Struthio camelus: one gene and its partner. The protein of the gene in region 1 binds, or shares a complex with, the protein of each later gene. Links are inferred from orthologs where the notes say so. Each region holds a gene or a part of one and is shown in the gene's direction. Other genes may lie near its edges.

Region 1 (7,761 bases):
TCTCCCACATCCTATTTTAGAAAAAAAGCAGATAACACTGAGAATATGCAAGCAGTACTGGAGAAAAGAAAGGGGTGGGGAAGATTTGGAAGCGTGTGGTGTTGACCACACTCAGATTTTGGCAGCTGTAGCAGTGCAAGCAAACAAGAATTAGTCTTAGGAGAGACCTGACTAGCTTGTTGTCAAAATAGGAATGGAAGTAGAATGATATGTGTGATGATTTGCCTTTGACATAGATGAAAACATTTGACTTTTGATAATCAGATAATCAACTAATAAAGCCTCGGGCTGTGCTAATTTGTTGGAGTGGAATGTGTTTGGACAGGATGATGAACATGTTTTGATAAGGCATTTGCGAGACATCACGGCTGTGATTGCAAGGAGTTTGGTAAGATATTTGTAAAGTCCCTACAATCCTAACAATGTAGTTAATGTGGAGATGATGTAAATGCAAATGAATCTGATCTCTAAGCAATACAATATAGGATCTAAATGTGTTTTGCAATGTATCGCCATATGTATGTTTAAATAATGTATAAATTAGTTGGCTCGGTTTTTTGAAAAACATGTTTTTGCAATGGTTCTTTGGAGAAGGATAATATGTGCAGTGAAAAGAGGAAGGATCGTTTAGATGCATGTGGCTATGTGTGGAAAAGAGGTGTAACGTGAGAGGACGGGGTAAAGAAGCATTGGGTGTGAGAGACTGAGTAGGAGGATAAAAGATGTAGGAGATAAAAGGGTTGAAAGAGGACAGATAGAGACAAGGGAAAATGTATGTCTGATCTTCAAGATAAGGGGGAATAGCTGCAGTTCAGTACAGTAAGCAACAGGAAGCCAAGTAGTGATTCACATGGCCAAAGCAACAGGAGAGGAGACGACACAGAAGCCTAATTTTGGACAGATTCTCGGGAAAGATAAACAAAAGAAAAGAAAACATTAATACAAAGGTCATAAATGAGTACCAGACTATATATTAAGATATTAGCAGGCACTAGTTGTCAAGGAAATACATTTCTAGTTCTCCAGGAAATACTGGTAGAAAGTCTCAGTTTTCAGAAATTTAATATTATGAATGGGTTTAATTTGTTGTGTTTCTTCCTCAAAAAAATGCCAAATAAAGGTGTCTTCAGCCATGGATTAACCATTTGCCAAATTTAATTTTGAATTAAATGCATTACTGTGCTATGTGAGAGCATAAAGGAGTAAACATCAGTTTGCTCTGTTCAGCTATTGTTAAAATAGGAAAACTGTTTTTTCCTTTGGAATTTTAAGTTTTACATTACATGATTTAGCCCACAGCAAATATTTTTTATGGCTGAATTATAAACTTCTTGAGAAATAAGTTTATAATAGAAGTGCAGACAATCTTCAAAAAAGCATTATAAGCACCAAGTCAAATTGCGAAGCAAAGATGGGCCTGAACCCAAACCCCAGAGCTAGCCACTCCATTAACTTTTACATACACTGGATTCAGATTCAGTCTTATAACACTAACTCATCCTTTCCATAAAATCACATTACTGATGTGAAAATGGAGAGCTGAACAAATGTGTAAGCAGTTGCAGGATCAGGACCCATAATACCGTGACTAAAATGTGAGAAGTGGATTATAAAAAAAGACTTCTGAATGTTTCATTTGATGCCAGTTTATATTCATGATGATTAAAGATTAAACATTTTCAGATAAATATATGTAAACCAAGGACAGAACATCTTCACTCCTCATTTCAGTGCAATTCATACATGAATAGAAACATGTGCCTATGTCTGTGAACCACAGAGAAAAAGATGGGTAGCAAAAACAGACTAATACCATTTACATTATGATAGGAGAGGACATTAATATAGCAGACTCTGCTATATTTTCTAGGGCAGACTCTGCTATATTTTCTAGGCCTTAGGAAAAAAAGCTCCTACAGAAAAAAAAAACCTTGGTGTCAAACCCAAAGTGTCCACGCTGTGCTGAAGAAAGGCAGAAGTCCTGCTTCACGGGCCGCATTCGCCGCAACAGAGGCTATTCCTGGTAAATTGTCTTTGCAGCCTCGTGCATATATCTCTGTGAAAGAGGAGGAAGCAATGATCTTTTAGACTTGAGCATGTTGAAATAAACCTTGGTATATGGATTAGTGGTTACAAGGTAGGTTGAGGTGATAAAAGCAACCTTTGTCGTTAGACTTGACCATTTAGCATATTATACCAGCTTCATTTAATGTAAATAACCTAAAATTAAGTATTTAGTTTTTCTTTCAGAATTTCTTTTAAAATATACTATCTAACAATATATTGTGCCTAAATCTACAGAAAATAACTTGCTAATCTGGTAGGAAAACAAATGGGGAAAAAATTTTTTTTTGTTTGGAGCATACAACTGGGAACAGGTAATTTTCTCTCTTCAGATTCATAGACCCTATCTGATAGGACAATGCTAATCCCAAAACGAGACAGTCACCACTTCTACATGATAAATGTAATTTTTTAATATACACACCCATTGAATTTCTGCTTAATAGTTTTCACTTTCAAAATTAAACTTGGCTTCTGAGAGTGAGCTTTTAACATGAACATGTATGTATACACTTATTCAAACCCTCCAATAAGCTACCATTAGTAGGCAATTTCTGAATTCAAAAATAGATATACTTTATTTAAATAGCAGTATTGTCCCTCAGTCAGTCTCAGACTGGAATGTGCTTCAGGACAGTACCAATTTATCTCAAGGACTGTCCAGCAGCATAAGAGTTTTAACAAGCAGAGAGCACTGTTACTTCTCCCCTTCCCCCTTGTTCTGGGAATTTCACTAAAAGAAAAAAAATTAAAGGGGGCTTAATGTGCTACCCATAAAATATACATCCCAATCAATCAAGAAAATGCATAAGTATTGTATATGATGATCCAGCGACTGCCTAAAGACAGGGAAATGAGACTGAACCCAATAACTCAGCCTGACTAGTTCCAGCCTGCCCAGCTCCCAGCTGAGGACCGTGGCCTGCCTGCAGACCCTGGCATGGGCAGGGGCAGAGACTAAGAGAAGAAAAGAATGAAGCACACAGAGAATATAAGAGGATCAAACTGTGCTTTAGTGCCTGATATTACAGAACTGCAGTCATGGAAGAGAACGGGAATGTCTGGCAAAAACTCAGAAAGTAGGGATGAGAGAGCGTACAGCATGAAACCGGCAGACAGATTTCCTATGGACTTAATCTCCAGACTTCAGCTGACCTTAAAGTCGAGGCTTCAAAAGGGCAGCGAGGGAGAGTGCGGGTGGAAGGCTTAGACTCCAGGCGGGAGACAAAGGGATGGAGGGGGCCGAATCTGTGTATGATTTCTGAACACAGATGTAACACATTTGTAGTTAATCTGTGCGGCTGCAAACTGACAACTATGTTTGAAAATTATTTCAAACATAGTTACATCTCTGGAGTGGACAGGGATTTACTGCTCCAGCTGCCCCAGGAAAATGACCCTGCCTCCTACCAAAGCCGGGCTTTTTTCCTTCTGATCCTTCAGAAAGACTCCAAGTGGAGCAGTTCCAAGTTCTGCTGTGGGTGAGGAGAGTGGCTGACATCCACCACTGGCCACAGGTCATTTTCCTAGCGCAAACCCATCTTTTGGGACCATTTAACACTGTGTTTCAACTTTCAGCCTTCAGAGCTCTTCCTCTAACCCCTGCTCTAGGGAGCAGATTAGAGGCCGCTCCCCTCGACACAGAGGGAGCTCAAAGCACTCCACATAAAAGCAGCAGCCAGGTTCAAATAGGTAATAACTCCCTGGGCGAAGGGGCAGCCTGTAAGGCAGAGCAACAGGGCAAGGAGAGGACAGGCCCTCGCCTGGGGAGCACCAGACCACCAAAGGCACCAGAGGGATTCAAAGCCCGCCGTGTCCCCTTTGTCCCCGGCACGGTGTGAGGATTGCTCAGAAGGAGACACGCACTCCTCAGAGAGGACTTGAGGTCGCGCAGCCTCCCTGGGGAGCAGAGGCGGCCGGGGGAGCCCAGCTGCTCCTCGGGCCCTTCCAGAGGTGGTGGGGGAGATGGGCAGAGTGAGGGGGCAAAGCGGTGAGGGAAGCGGAGGCAGGCAGGGAAGGAGAGCCACGGTGGGGGGAAAGGGGGTGCCAATAGGGGCGGGTGGCAGAGGGTGCAGGGATGCAAAGGGGTGGCCGCGGCTCGGCCCCCGCCAGCGAGGCCGGCAGCCCCTGGGCTGGCAGAGGACGGTGCTGCCCCACGGCGGGGCTCCGGAGGGACAGGCGTGGGGCCGGGTGCCCCCTCGGGGCACGCATGCACTTGCTGGGGAGCAAGCGGGGAGGAAAAGAGCGGGTCCGGGAGGGCCGGGCGGGTGCCCGGGCCGGGGCGCAGGGAGAGCAGGGCAGAGAGGGCAGGGCAGGGCGGCGGCGGCGGTGCGCGGGCGCGCAGGACCCGCGGCGGCCACTCCGCTCCGCTCCGCGCCTCGCCGGGCGCAGGTGGGCGCCGCCCGCCCGCTCTACCTGCCCGCGGGACCGGCCTGGCGGGGGAGGCCGGCCCTCGCCCCTCGCCCCCCGACCGCCCCTCTTAGCCCACCCATCCGCCGCTGGGTTTCGGGGCTGGGGCTCGCTGTGTTTGTTTGTTGATCCTCCGGCGCTGCCGATGTCTTGGGGGGCTGAGGAGGAGGAGGAAGAGGAGGAGGGCGGGGAGGGGGAGGGGACTGGGGCTCGGGAGACGGCGGCTCCTCTGCCTCTCTTATTGCCGCTGAGTTGCGCTCCTCTTCCTCAGGCTGCGAGCAGGAGCCGCCCGGGCGCTTCCCCCTTCGCGGCCGGCCCGGAGTCCCCGCGGCGGCGGCGGCGGCGGCGCGCTCGCTCCCGCCGGGGCAGGTGAGTGCGGGCGCCGGGCGCCGCCGCCGCCCCGGGCTGCCGGCACCGGGCGGGGGAGCGGCAGCTCGGCCGGGCCGGGCCGGGCCGGGCCGGCGGGGCGGGATGCAGTTCGCAAAACTCCTGAGCCCGTCTCGTCCCCGCTCACCGCCGCTTTCTCTTGCTTCTCTCCTCTCCGCAGAGCACCCCCGCCCCGTGCCCCGGACCCCTCCCTGGCAGAGCGCTTCCGAGGTGCCGGCAGCCGCAAGGATTTTTGTCTGTCTTGTTTGTGTGTTTGGGTTTTTTTTTGTTCTGTTTTTTTTTTCCCTCGTTTTCATTTGGCTTTCTAGTCTCCCTGGGAATGGTAGGGGCAGTGGCGCCTGGAGAAGGAACAAGTGTGGGGAAAGGGAGAGGGAGCCGAAGCTAAATGACAGGATGCGGGCGACTTGAGGCACAGAAAGAGAAGCCAGCAGCTCTCGGCCACGGGGACTGCCCTTGCGGACCGTGCTTTCTGCTCCCAACTCCAGCTGGAGGATTTAAGACCTAGGAAGAGTTGTGTGTGGAGGGCTTTTTTTTTTTTTTTTTTTTTTAAACCTCCTTTCGCTGCGCTCGGAAGGGAAGATGGATTGGAGACTTCTCCTGCACTGTGCAGCCCTCACCTTCACCCTCGCCAGGGCTCTGCGAAGCGGTAAGTGTCACAGGGGACGTCGGGTCTCAGCGTAGGCAAGCAGTTTCAGCGCTCGGGCTCCGAGGCTCTGAGGGAGGACAATGGGGCACGGCAGACAATGGGGCACGGCAGACAATGGGGCCGGCACCGACCCGAGCCCGGCTGCGGGGAACTTTCTGCCAAAGGACCGACGCGGCGCGGTCCTCGCCTGAGTTTCGCCCGCCCTGGCATTGCCTTCTCACTTTATTTTCCGCTCTTTGGGGCTGTTGTACAAAGCAGGCTGCTCGTTCTCACAAGATCAGGACCGTCAATTATCTTGATAATGCTTCCTCCCATAGGCAATTAAATAAGTGTCGCCTCCGAAATCTGAAAGATAATGAACACTTTAAGGAAAAGGCTTTTTCTCCCTCCTTTCTTTTCCAAAGGGCAAGATTGAGTATCATGCCTTTTACTAGCTGTGTGTGTACCTGCGGGTAGTCTGCAGACGGAGATCTCCCTAGCGTACCCTTTTCCAAAGTGTGCAGTTTACGTGCAACTTGCACAGTGCCAAGAGAAAAGCTGAGCCTCTGTGTGAAGGCTCAAGACTCCTTTCTAATAGCGAAATCTTCCAACAAATGACTGATCTAGCTAGTTTACTATTAGGCAGCCCGTGAAAACAGAATTAATTAAAAGCAACGCGCTCCTCCTTCCCTGAACAATGCCAGGGCACCGGGAATATTTCACTGCTTGATGCATTTTTAAAGACGGTCTAATTGTGGGACTGTTTGACGTTTAGCTCTCGTTCCAGAAACAGCTCGTGCGAGTTTTCCTTTCCCGACAAATCCTAAGCAATTATTATTAACTAATTATCAAATATTTACTTTTGCCTGACTGGGTTTTAAATCAGAGTAATTAAAAGAAGAGAGCACCCTCCACTTACGCTGGTATATTGTTTTAATAAGAGACCGCAAGTGGAGCCTCTTGGAAGAGAGCGCATTAAAATCGCATGTTTTATGATGGAAGTTAATCTCTTTCCCAATATATTTTGAGGAAGCTGCTTGATTTGCTAAGGACGAGCCGCCTCCCCCGGTGATGGGGCGCAGGAGCGAAGGCGTTACCAGGCGAGCGTCAAGCCGGGCTGGGGGCTGCTGGGCGAGCTGCCCCGAGCCCCAGATGCGGCGGCCGGCAGCCGCCTCCCTGGCCCCCGGAGAGCCCGGCACTGCTCCTGGCTCTGCACCCCTCTGAGCATGGGAGGGGGCGCCCTGCGGTCTTCTCGATCGTTTACTCCCCCTTAAAAGAAAAGTAGAAGGGTGGGCCGCTGGGCAGAACCACTACCTTGAGCGGGTAATGTGGTGGCCCTCCTGGAGTCACCCAGGCCGTTAACCTCCTCTGTAACCTACCAGACCTGCTAATACCTCCTTCACCTACAGCCCATGCTAGTGTCTGCTAAATTAATTCATTAACCTCATTTAGAACTAATGGTCCAAAGTCATTAGAAACTGCTCTTCTTAATCAAGTGTGAGGGAGATTGCACAGAGCCAGGGAGTCTAGCAGACCGTATTATCTTATTACACTGTCACTTTCCCAGAAGTCGGAGATTAAGGCGCGCTGGTGGTAGTGAGTCCACCTCAGCGTCCACTGAAGTGACTCTGTCAAGTGACTAGAAGCAGCACTGCTTTATTTCAGGCATTTAACAGATGCCAGACTCTGCCATGTTGTTTGCAGGGCTGGAGTGGATTTAATGAGACAGGATCACTTTCCGAGTGTGCTTACGGAGAGAGGAAAAGGCAGGATTCTCTGCGAGCCCTAGTAAGGCGGATTAGAAAGATCACCAGTGACAGCTTTTGAGCTTTGAGCTGCAACGCCTTTTGTTCTGGTCAGAGGCAAATAGCCTGCTTTACAAAGGCAAAGCGGAAATAAATAATAAGATAACCATTCCCAGCAACATGCTTAGCAATATCTGTTTTTTGACCAGACAGCAGAATACATATCATCGCCTTCCTTTCTAATTTATGGCAAATAATCCCCGTTAAGGTGTTCAGCTTTATGCATTTTTGATGTGTACTTCCTTGTTCATTTCCATTTGACCTGGTTTTCCTACAATAAAATTCTGTACATTTATAAATTCATGCTGAGAGCAAGAAATGCCATTTGGCTGTCATAGAGAATGTATTAGACACAGCATTGCAGTCTGTACATATAGTTATTGGGATATAGTGGTGTATAGACTTGCTTTTTAGTGCAGACATTCTTCCTGTCTGTAGTTTACTATCATATTTTATTGGTGAAAATTAAAC
Region 2 (7,596 bases), on another chromosome or scaffold:
TTGCATGGCTGCCCGGATAAACCAGCCTGCAAAGACCTAAAGGGCTGGGAGTGCTTGCAGACCCCAGGGACATGCTGGATAAAGTGCAATTGGAGGGCAGCTTGGGCAGACCCTCTCTCGGGCTTTTTTCCACCTTGTGTTAGAAACCAGTTGTGGAGAAGCGCTGATCAAAGGGAAAGCCAATGGCTGCCAACTGAATGGCAAAATCTTGCTCTTTCCCTGTTCCCTGGGAACCTCTTCTCCTCCTGCATGCCTTTTGCAATGGTTTTGTCCCATCCGGTATCTACATGACCCTCCTCGAAGCTGGTAAAACTGCAGAAAAACTGATAGCATGCCAACCCCCTGCAGCCAGCACCCAGACCAAGATCTGCTCTTAGGGGTCTCTTGTCCCCTAAGGGACCATTGAGAGAGCTGTGTCTATCAGGGCACCGTGCCTTGTTCCTTGGTGGAATTAATTTAGGATTATCCCTGCCTTCACATTTCCCCAGTGGTTTTTCCAGTCTGGCTCTGTGTCCCCTCCTACTTCTGCTTCCCGGCACCCGCTCGGAGCAGAGCCTCGACGCAACTGGCTCCTCTCCTTCAAGCTGATGCAGAGAGCTGAACTCTGTTCCTCCCTGGGGTGCAAGGAATGACAATGCAAAGCACTCGACCAGCTTTCCAACAGAGTGTGATGACTTTTCTTTTTTTTTTTTTAACACTCCGAAAGCACAGTGAAGCCATCCTTTGTCAGAGGTAGGGATGGTGACAGTCAGATGGAAGAGGCCAATTTTGTTTTTGGGTGTCAACAGAGCTGGTGAAGATGTTTCAGTCTCCAACATCTGAGGGACCGGAGGGGGGTGGCGGTGAAGATCAGACCAGAGAAACAAGACGTTTAACGAGGCGGCATTTGGAGAGCTGAGCAAAGCTCTTTCAGCAGCCCTACTTCTTATCGTCATCTCCTCGTGGTATTTAGTATTTAGGGAATTCACTTGTCGGCCTCTGGTGGAGGGTGCTTCTGTGGGATGCCTGCACAGAGGGGTGGGATCGTACTGGCTTGGGGGGGACATGGGGCGAAGTGGGGGGCCTCGGGGGAGTGGAGAGGTGGCATTAGCCCCGCCACCGTGCAGCGACGCAACGCAACGCAACGCAGCACGACTGAACGCGATGCAAAGCAGCGCAAAGCACTGCACGGGGCTCCCACCTCCCACCACCAGCCAAGCCCCCAGCCCTCCAACCTCAGACTTTTTTAGAGATTTATCGCCGTTTCAGGGATTTCCAGAGCTGCCAAAAATCCCGGTCACTGCAGGTGGCGCTGCAATGTAGGTTTTTAGCAGCGCCGGCGCTCGGCGCAAACCCAGTCCCCGGCAAGGACCAGCTGATGGCTTTAACAAGCGTCTCTGCCTTTTAGCAACTGGAATACCAGCTTGGTTTAACAAACTTGTAAAATGGCAGTGCAGGGAGGCGGGGGGGGGGGAACTTCCTAGGGTCGTCCTGTCTTCATTTTTTTAAAATTGGCGTGCACGCTTTGTAACTCGAAGCAGTTGAGTCTTAAAGCGTACGGATGTGCATCCTCAGACAGAAATACATGTTTTCTGCAATCAGAAGCCCTGGGTGCTGTCATGAGTGATCCCTGTATGTGGTTTGGATAACAAGACGTGAAACGAAAGGATGCTTGTGCTGTTAGCTGACCATCACGGATGAAATCTCTGAGAGCCCGAAATGGGCAGCATCTGGGTATTATTTTTATTTAGGGTGTTATTAGCAGTGGGAGGCCAAAGAGGAGATCCTACAGGACGAGGCCCATTACCGTGCCACTCTCGCAGCGCTCGGGCGCCTGCTGCCACCGAAGTTGACGGCAAAACATCCCATTGATGGCGACCGGGTGAGCCGGGGCCCTCCGTGTCCTTGGGCCCTTTTACTGCAGCTATTCGCAGGTCAGGGGAGGTCGTTTGGGTTTTCCAGTCTTAACCCTTCTCCACCCCCGCTGCCGAGTTCATGAAAAGGCCTATAAAAAAAGTCTCATTTGTCACTCTCTCCTTTCTGAACCCAAACAGCGGAGGGATATGTTGACTCATGCCATTGTTTTAAGAAACAGAGAGAATTTGTATTAAATTCTTCCTCCCTGTCGAACAGTGAAAAGTAATCTCAGGGTATCTGGATTGTCCATTTCTTTTAGCAGGATAGCCCTGTTTTAAATGCAGGACCAAAAATTCCCAGAGATTTTCATATGTTTTATTAAATGGAGCTGCAAGCCAGAATGGACATTAAATAATACTGTACCGTTCACAACAGCAGTGATCTTTAGAGGTTACTAACCTGCCATTGTATCTTTCAGATTTCTGTCTCGCTTTTCCGTTGTCATTTTGCTGTGTTATTACTCTTCAGGCTTCGCATAGCGTTCGTTTCTCTGAATGAAAACAAATGACTCCTTGCGAGAGGCAGGAGATAAAGAATAATAAATACATTTTATGCACCACCTTAAAAAAAGGGGCTCCGAATCCCCATCCATCCATCAGGAAATGTAAACCAGAGCTCAGGCAAAACACACACACGCAGGCACATAGGCACGCAGTGCAGAGATAAAACTTGTTTTAAGGAAAACATGATATTGTTTAAAAATAAATGTCTTGGAGGATGCAAATAGACAGCCCCCAGCCCCCGTGTTTGGTTGCATAAATTTAAAATAATTAAAAGTGCAAAGCTCGGATTAATCCTGAATGGTAGAGGCCGCGGTAAGGATGGGAAGCCCTGCTGTGCTCGGGGCTGCACGAGGTGTCTCCTGAGGCAGGTGTCCCTGCCTCTCATCATGGTTGTGGCTCACCATAAGCGGTGGGATGCCCTTCACTATCCATCCTCTGCATCCTTCTTCTTGCCCGGGGAGGGAAGGGGGGATGTTGGCAGGGGGCTGCAGGACCAGACCCAAGGTTTTTCCCTCCTCGCCCTGCTGTAAATGCAGCCAGCATCCTCAGGTGTAGAGGAGGACTCCCCAATCAGTTCCCCTTCACTCCCCCTTGTCCCTGGACGGTTGCAAGATGCCCATCGTCACAGCGTCAGGGCTCTCCTGGCTCCGTGGGGAGGCAGCCCTGTTGCTATGTGCTGCTATCAACACCCTGAGAGCGCCGCTTGCCTTCCTACCATCTGCTGCCTGCTCTGCTCCTGACTCTGTCGACTCGAGGAGAGCTCAGATATTACCTGGAGAGAGGAGTTCAGGTGTCTGCGTGGGGAAACGCGCTCGCTTCGCCCTCCCCAGCTCCCACGGCCATGGGCAGCTCTGCAGGACAGCCTGGCCAGCCACGGTAGGAGCCTACCAGGTGCAAAACTCAGGCAATGATCACTAATAGCTTTTAAAAGATATTATTATTCTTCCGGCTGCCAGGAATTAAATGAAGACTCGGACAGCAGAGCAGCTTGCAATAGCTCTCTAGGATTATTGCTCACCCAGGCTGAGAGACTGATCTTCCTCTGAGCCTCCCAGCCCTCCTGCGCTCGGGCTGATGATCTCCGCACCTCACTTTGTCCTAGATGGAGGAGAGTGGCAGGGCAGGGAGGGAAGGAGGAAGAGGGATGCAGCAGTGGGGAGCCCTGCTGCTGGGAAGAGGTTTTTCTGGGGAGGTGGTCGAGGAGCGAGAGAGATGCGTTTGATTCTTTGAGATATACGGGTTTTTTGTTTTTTAGGGTTTTTTTTTTTTTTTGGCAGCGAAATTTCCCAATTAGCCCAATCAGGCTGGAGATCCTAGGTGTCAGTAGTGAGTAGAGCGAGGGAAGGAGCCCGGAGAAATCAAGGCAGCCGAGTCGGGCTGGCAGCCGTGGGAGAGCAGCGGCGGCGGCGGCCCCGCTCCCCATCCCCATCCCATCCCCATCCCCATCCCCATCCCCTGGCAACTTCGGGACAAGAAAAAAACCGGCTCCGGGTCCCCCCCGCCCCCTTCCCTCCTCCAGCGACAACCCGCGCTCCCTCCGCCTGCTGCCCGCTCCCAGAGGTGGGTGGGCTGGCGAAAGGAGGAGCAACCGGCCACTTTCTCTGCAAAAAAAAAAAAAAAAAAGAACAAAAAGGGATTTTTACTATCATTTTTTTATTATTATTGTTATTATTATTATTACCATCCTGGCGTGCTGGGTGCGGGTTGCCACCGCACTTCCCTACACCTCTCCGGCTTTTTTTTTTTTTTTTTTAGGGGGAGGGGGAAAGGGGGGAAGTGGGGGAAGAGAGAGGGGTGCGTGGATGTGTGTGTGTATGTGTGCAAGAAAGCCTGGGTGTCAAAGCCTGCTCGGCAGCCACCATTTGGAGAGGAGGGCCGGGGAGGAAGGGCTGGCGAGACAGCCGCAGTGCGAGCCCTCGCCGGCGGGCGGGCGGCAGCGCGGCGGCCGCGGAGCCGGGCGCGGAGCCGGGCACGGCCCCGTAGCGCATCCCCTGCCTGCACCCAGCCAGCCAGCGCGGCTGCCTGTCTCCCCCCTTTCCTTGCCGATTTAGAGGCTGGGGGGGGGGGGCTGGGGGAGGGAGGGAGGGGTGATTTGGAGGAGGAGGGTGGGGGGGAGTGAAAACTGGAGCTGCTTTTTTTTTTCCTCCCATCTCTCTTCTTCTCCCCCCCCCCCCCCCCCCCCGCCGCCTTTCTGGGCGATCCAGAAGACGCGGTTTGCCCAGTGCAGAGAGAGGGGCTCCGTGTTCCGCCTCCGTGGAGTATTTGGGATTGGAGAGAGAGAGAGAGAGAGAGAGACACGCACACACACACACACACACACACACACACTCACACACACACAGAGACCATCTGCAGTGTCAATGCGGCGCCTGCTCTGAAGACTGAAGTGGGGGGAAAAAGGAGAGGAAATTTTTAAAAAAATAATAATAATTTAAAAAAAAAAATCCCCAAAGCAAGCGAGGAGCCCTCCCAGGTAAGGAGCCCGGCTGCCCGCCCCGGGCAGCGGGGGGCTTTGCGGGAGGCTGCCCGGGAGGCTGCTCGGCAGGGCCGGCTGGGCTGCGGCGGTGCCTGCCTCGCACCCCGGCAGGACGGGGCTGGGGGGGGGGGGGTCCCTGGGAGGGAGAGCCCGGGGTCCCCCCCCCCGGCCCCTTTTCCCACGGCGGCTCCGCGGGGAAGGGGCCGGTAGGGACCCCCGCGGGGCAGCGGGCTGAGCCGGGCACGGCCCTCCGGCTTTGCCCGGGCTGTTTTGGGACGATGCTGGAAAAGGAAGGGGAGGGGGTTTGCAGAGCGGGGTGGGGGGGGGGGGAACCCCGCTGGCATCGTCCCCTCCAGGACCCCAGAGCCGGTGGCCGGTTCTCCCCGGTCCCCGGTGCCTTTTCCCCCATGCACAAGGCTGAACTTTTCTCCGCGGAGGGAGCGGGACCGACGTTGCAGCTTATCCCCTGCCACCTCCGGCAGCGGCTCTTCCTCCCCCCGGGCGGCGGCGGGCATTTGCCCCCCGGTGCCCCAGGGGCCAGGGGGCTGGAGGTATTTGCAAACTTTTCCTGCTCCCGACCAGGTCTGCGGCTGGACGGGGCTGGAGGCAGAGCCCGTTTGCCAGGGAGGATCAGCGCCTGCCGGGTGACTGCCAGGGAGGGGACAGGGGCCACCCCGGCGGGGACACCTCGAGGAGAAGGGGGCGGGGGGGGGGGCATCCCCGTCTTTTTCACCTTCCCGCAAGGTGCCGAGGAGTTTGGCTGCCCAAAACCCAGGCTGCGGAGTCAGCGCTGCTAAACCTCCCTCCCTCCGTGCATGTGTGCGCTGCAACCGAAACCTGCGTATTGATGCTCTCCGTTTATCAGACATATGCCCCTGAATTATGTAGACAGGGAGAAGCGATCTAAACACCAAGCCGCACATGGTTTTGGTAGAAATATAATACTCCGGCGGCAGATGAGTTCCTCCCAGATAAACAAACCCACTTGCACAGCCCCAGCAGGGCTAAGTGCTGTTTGGGTTTGTAGCGGCTGCATGTGGCTGTTACATACCCAGCCCCGAGGAAACCCTCCTCCTGGGGCCCCATCTGCTCCCCTTTCCGCACAGGGATGAAGCCCTCGCCCGTGCCGGCGTGGGGCAGAGGAAGGGATGAAACCTGCCGCTCTCGCCTGTCCGAAGGGACCGGGCGGAAAGCATGAGAGCCATGCTCCTCATCCATAAAACTTCCACCCGAAAGTCTGCTCCGCTTCGATTTCCAACCTCGCCGCCACCAGGGAACCGTCAGCAGCTGTGAGAAAGGGGCTCGGGCTGGACGCACCTGATTTTTCATGGCTTCCCTCTCCGCCGCCGGGATGTCGTGCGCGGGATGCGACACGCTAGGGAGGATGCGGGAGGACAGGGGCTGTCCGGGTCGCTGGGGCGAGCGGGGTGCGGAGGGACGGTTTGGATCAGCCCCCTGGGGATGCTCTTATTCCTGGGGAACGATAAAGGTTTCAGGAGATTTTGCAGGCAACGCGATCCCTCCCAGCCTTCTAGGGACTTATCTTGAGCGTGCACCAGCCCTGCACAAATATGTTTGAGGGCATAGAGCGTTCTTTTTTTTTTTTTTTTAAATCTGTCCTCGGTTTCACCTGGGTCTTGTTTATAGAAGCTGGTTAAATCCGTGAGCGGGTGGGACCAGCGGAGCATGGGGTCGCTTTGCCTTCTCTGTGATTTTAATTACAGCGTGTGCCTCCCAGCGTGAGATTAGATGCTTCCTTCCCCCAGCTAAGCCACTGTCTTAAGGTCTTGGGGATCAGAGCTGCGTTTTGTTTGCGTTTTTAATTGCCTTGGAAAGTGCTTGCTTGTTTGTTTGTTTGTTTCTGTCTGGGACCCTCCATCAGAGCCGGGCTTCAAGCAGCGCAACAGATGTGTGCCTGCTTTTTGTGCGCAGCCAGGTTTAAACACGCAACCCCAGCCCCATCATGAAAGCCTGGGAATTTCTTCCCTCCTCTGCCCAGACCCATCCTCCGTGGGGGTGTCTCCTTTCCTAAAGGACCAGTGTAAGGCTTTGCCTTTCTGTCCCGTCTTAAATTTGCGGCACTCGGAGAAATCAGTAAGACGCAAAACCAATGACAGATGCATGATCTGAGCGTTGTTGATGTCCAAGATGGGTGTTTTTTAAAATACACGCTGACGATCAATCACGCTGCTGCTCGGAAGCTTTCGCTTGATGATCGTAACTGCCTTGTAGGTGCCGGAGACTGTTGTTAAATCTGTTCAGCCTGCAATCCTGCACCTGGGTAGCAGAGGAATGAGTGCTATAGAAAATCTTAAGACAGACACTGAAGTTTTCCACTGGGAAAGGAAATATTCCAGCCTTTCCTCTTTCTTTCACCTACGAGCCTCTCTGTCTGCATTCGCAGTGTGCCTGCTGCTATGCAGGCTGGAGATGCAGCGAAGCGAAGGGCTCAGCACAGGCACGAGACCTGCGATGATCTGCTGCCGCCGAGGAGGCAGAAGTGGTCTTTGGCAGCCAGATCTCCAGAGGGTGGTGGTTTCGGGGCCCGATTTCACGGTGAGGTCTCTGGGTCTGCAGGGTGAGATGGGGAGGAAGGACTCTGGAGCCCCCTTTTGTGCTGCATCTTTCTCCTTTTAGTGAATCACTTTGTCTCTGTATCCCGATTTGCTTGACTTTGAATGGATGTAATAAAAGCTACCTCCTTCCCGGAGTGCTGGGGTT

The links. The genes of interacting proteins can lie anywhere in the genome.
Region 2: the proteins of NRP1 (region 1) and PLXNA4 are in contact, whole or in part, in a cryo-EM structure (PDB 7M0R), measured with the Mus musculus proteins. The link is inferred for Struthio camelus from reciprocal best matches to the Homo sapiens genes NRP1 and PLXNA4. Residues at the interface, in NP_032763.2 of Mus musculus: Arg80, Tyr84, Asp126, Tyr127, Glu128; in NP_786926.2 of Mus musculus: Glu272, Lys340, Lys343, Lys345, Leu349.

What each region holds. Positions count from the first base shown.
Region 1 is NC_090943.1:16,657,875-16,665,635, forward strand, and holds the start of NRP1 (neuropilin-1), read left to right. Parts: upstream 1-4,671; 5' UTR 4,672-4,842; intron 4,843-5,020; 5' UTR 5,021-5,439; coding exon 5,440-5,506; intron 5,507-7,761. UniProt on the Homo sapiens protein: Cell-surface receptor involved in the development of the cardiovascular system, in angiogenesis, in the formation of certain neuronal circuits and in organogenesis outside the nervous system. Mediates the chemorepulsant activity of semaphorins.
Region 2 is NC_090942.1:3,315,983-3,323,578, forward strand, and holds the start of PLXNA4 (plexin-A4), read left to right. Parts: upstream 1-4,569; 5' UTR 4,570-4,872; intron 4,873-4,890; exon of another isoform or gene 4,891-7,596. UniProt on the Homo sapiens protein: Coreceptor for SEMA3A. Necessary for signaling by class 3 semaphorins and subsequent remodeling of the cytoskeleton. Plays a role in axon guidance in the developing nervous system. Class 3 semaphorins bind to a complex composed of a neuropilin and a plexin.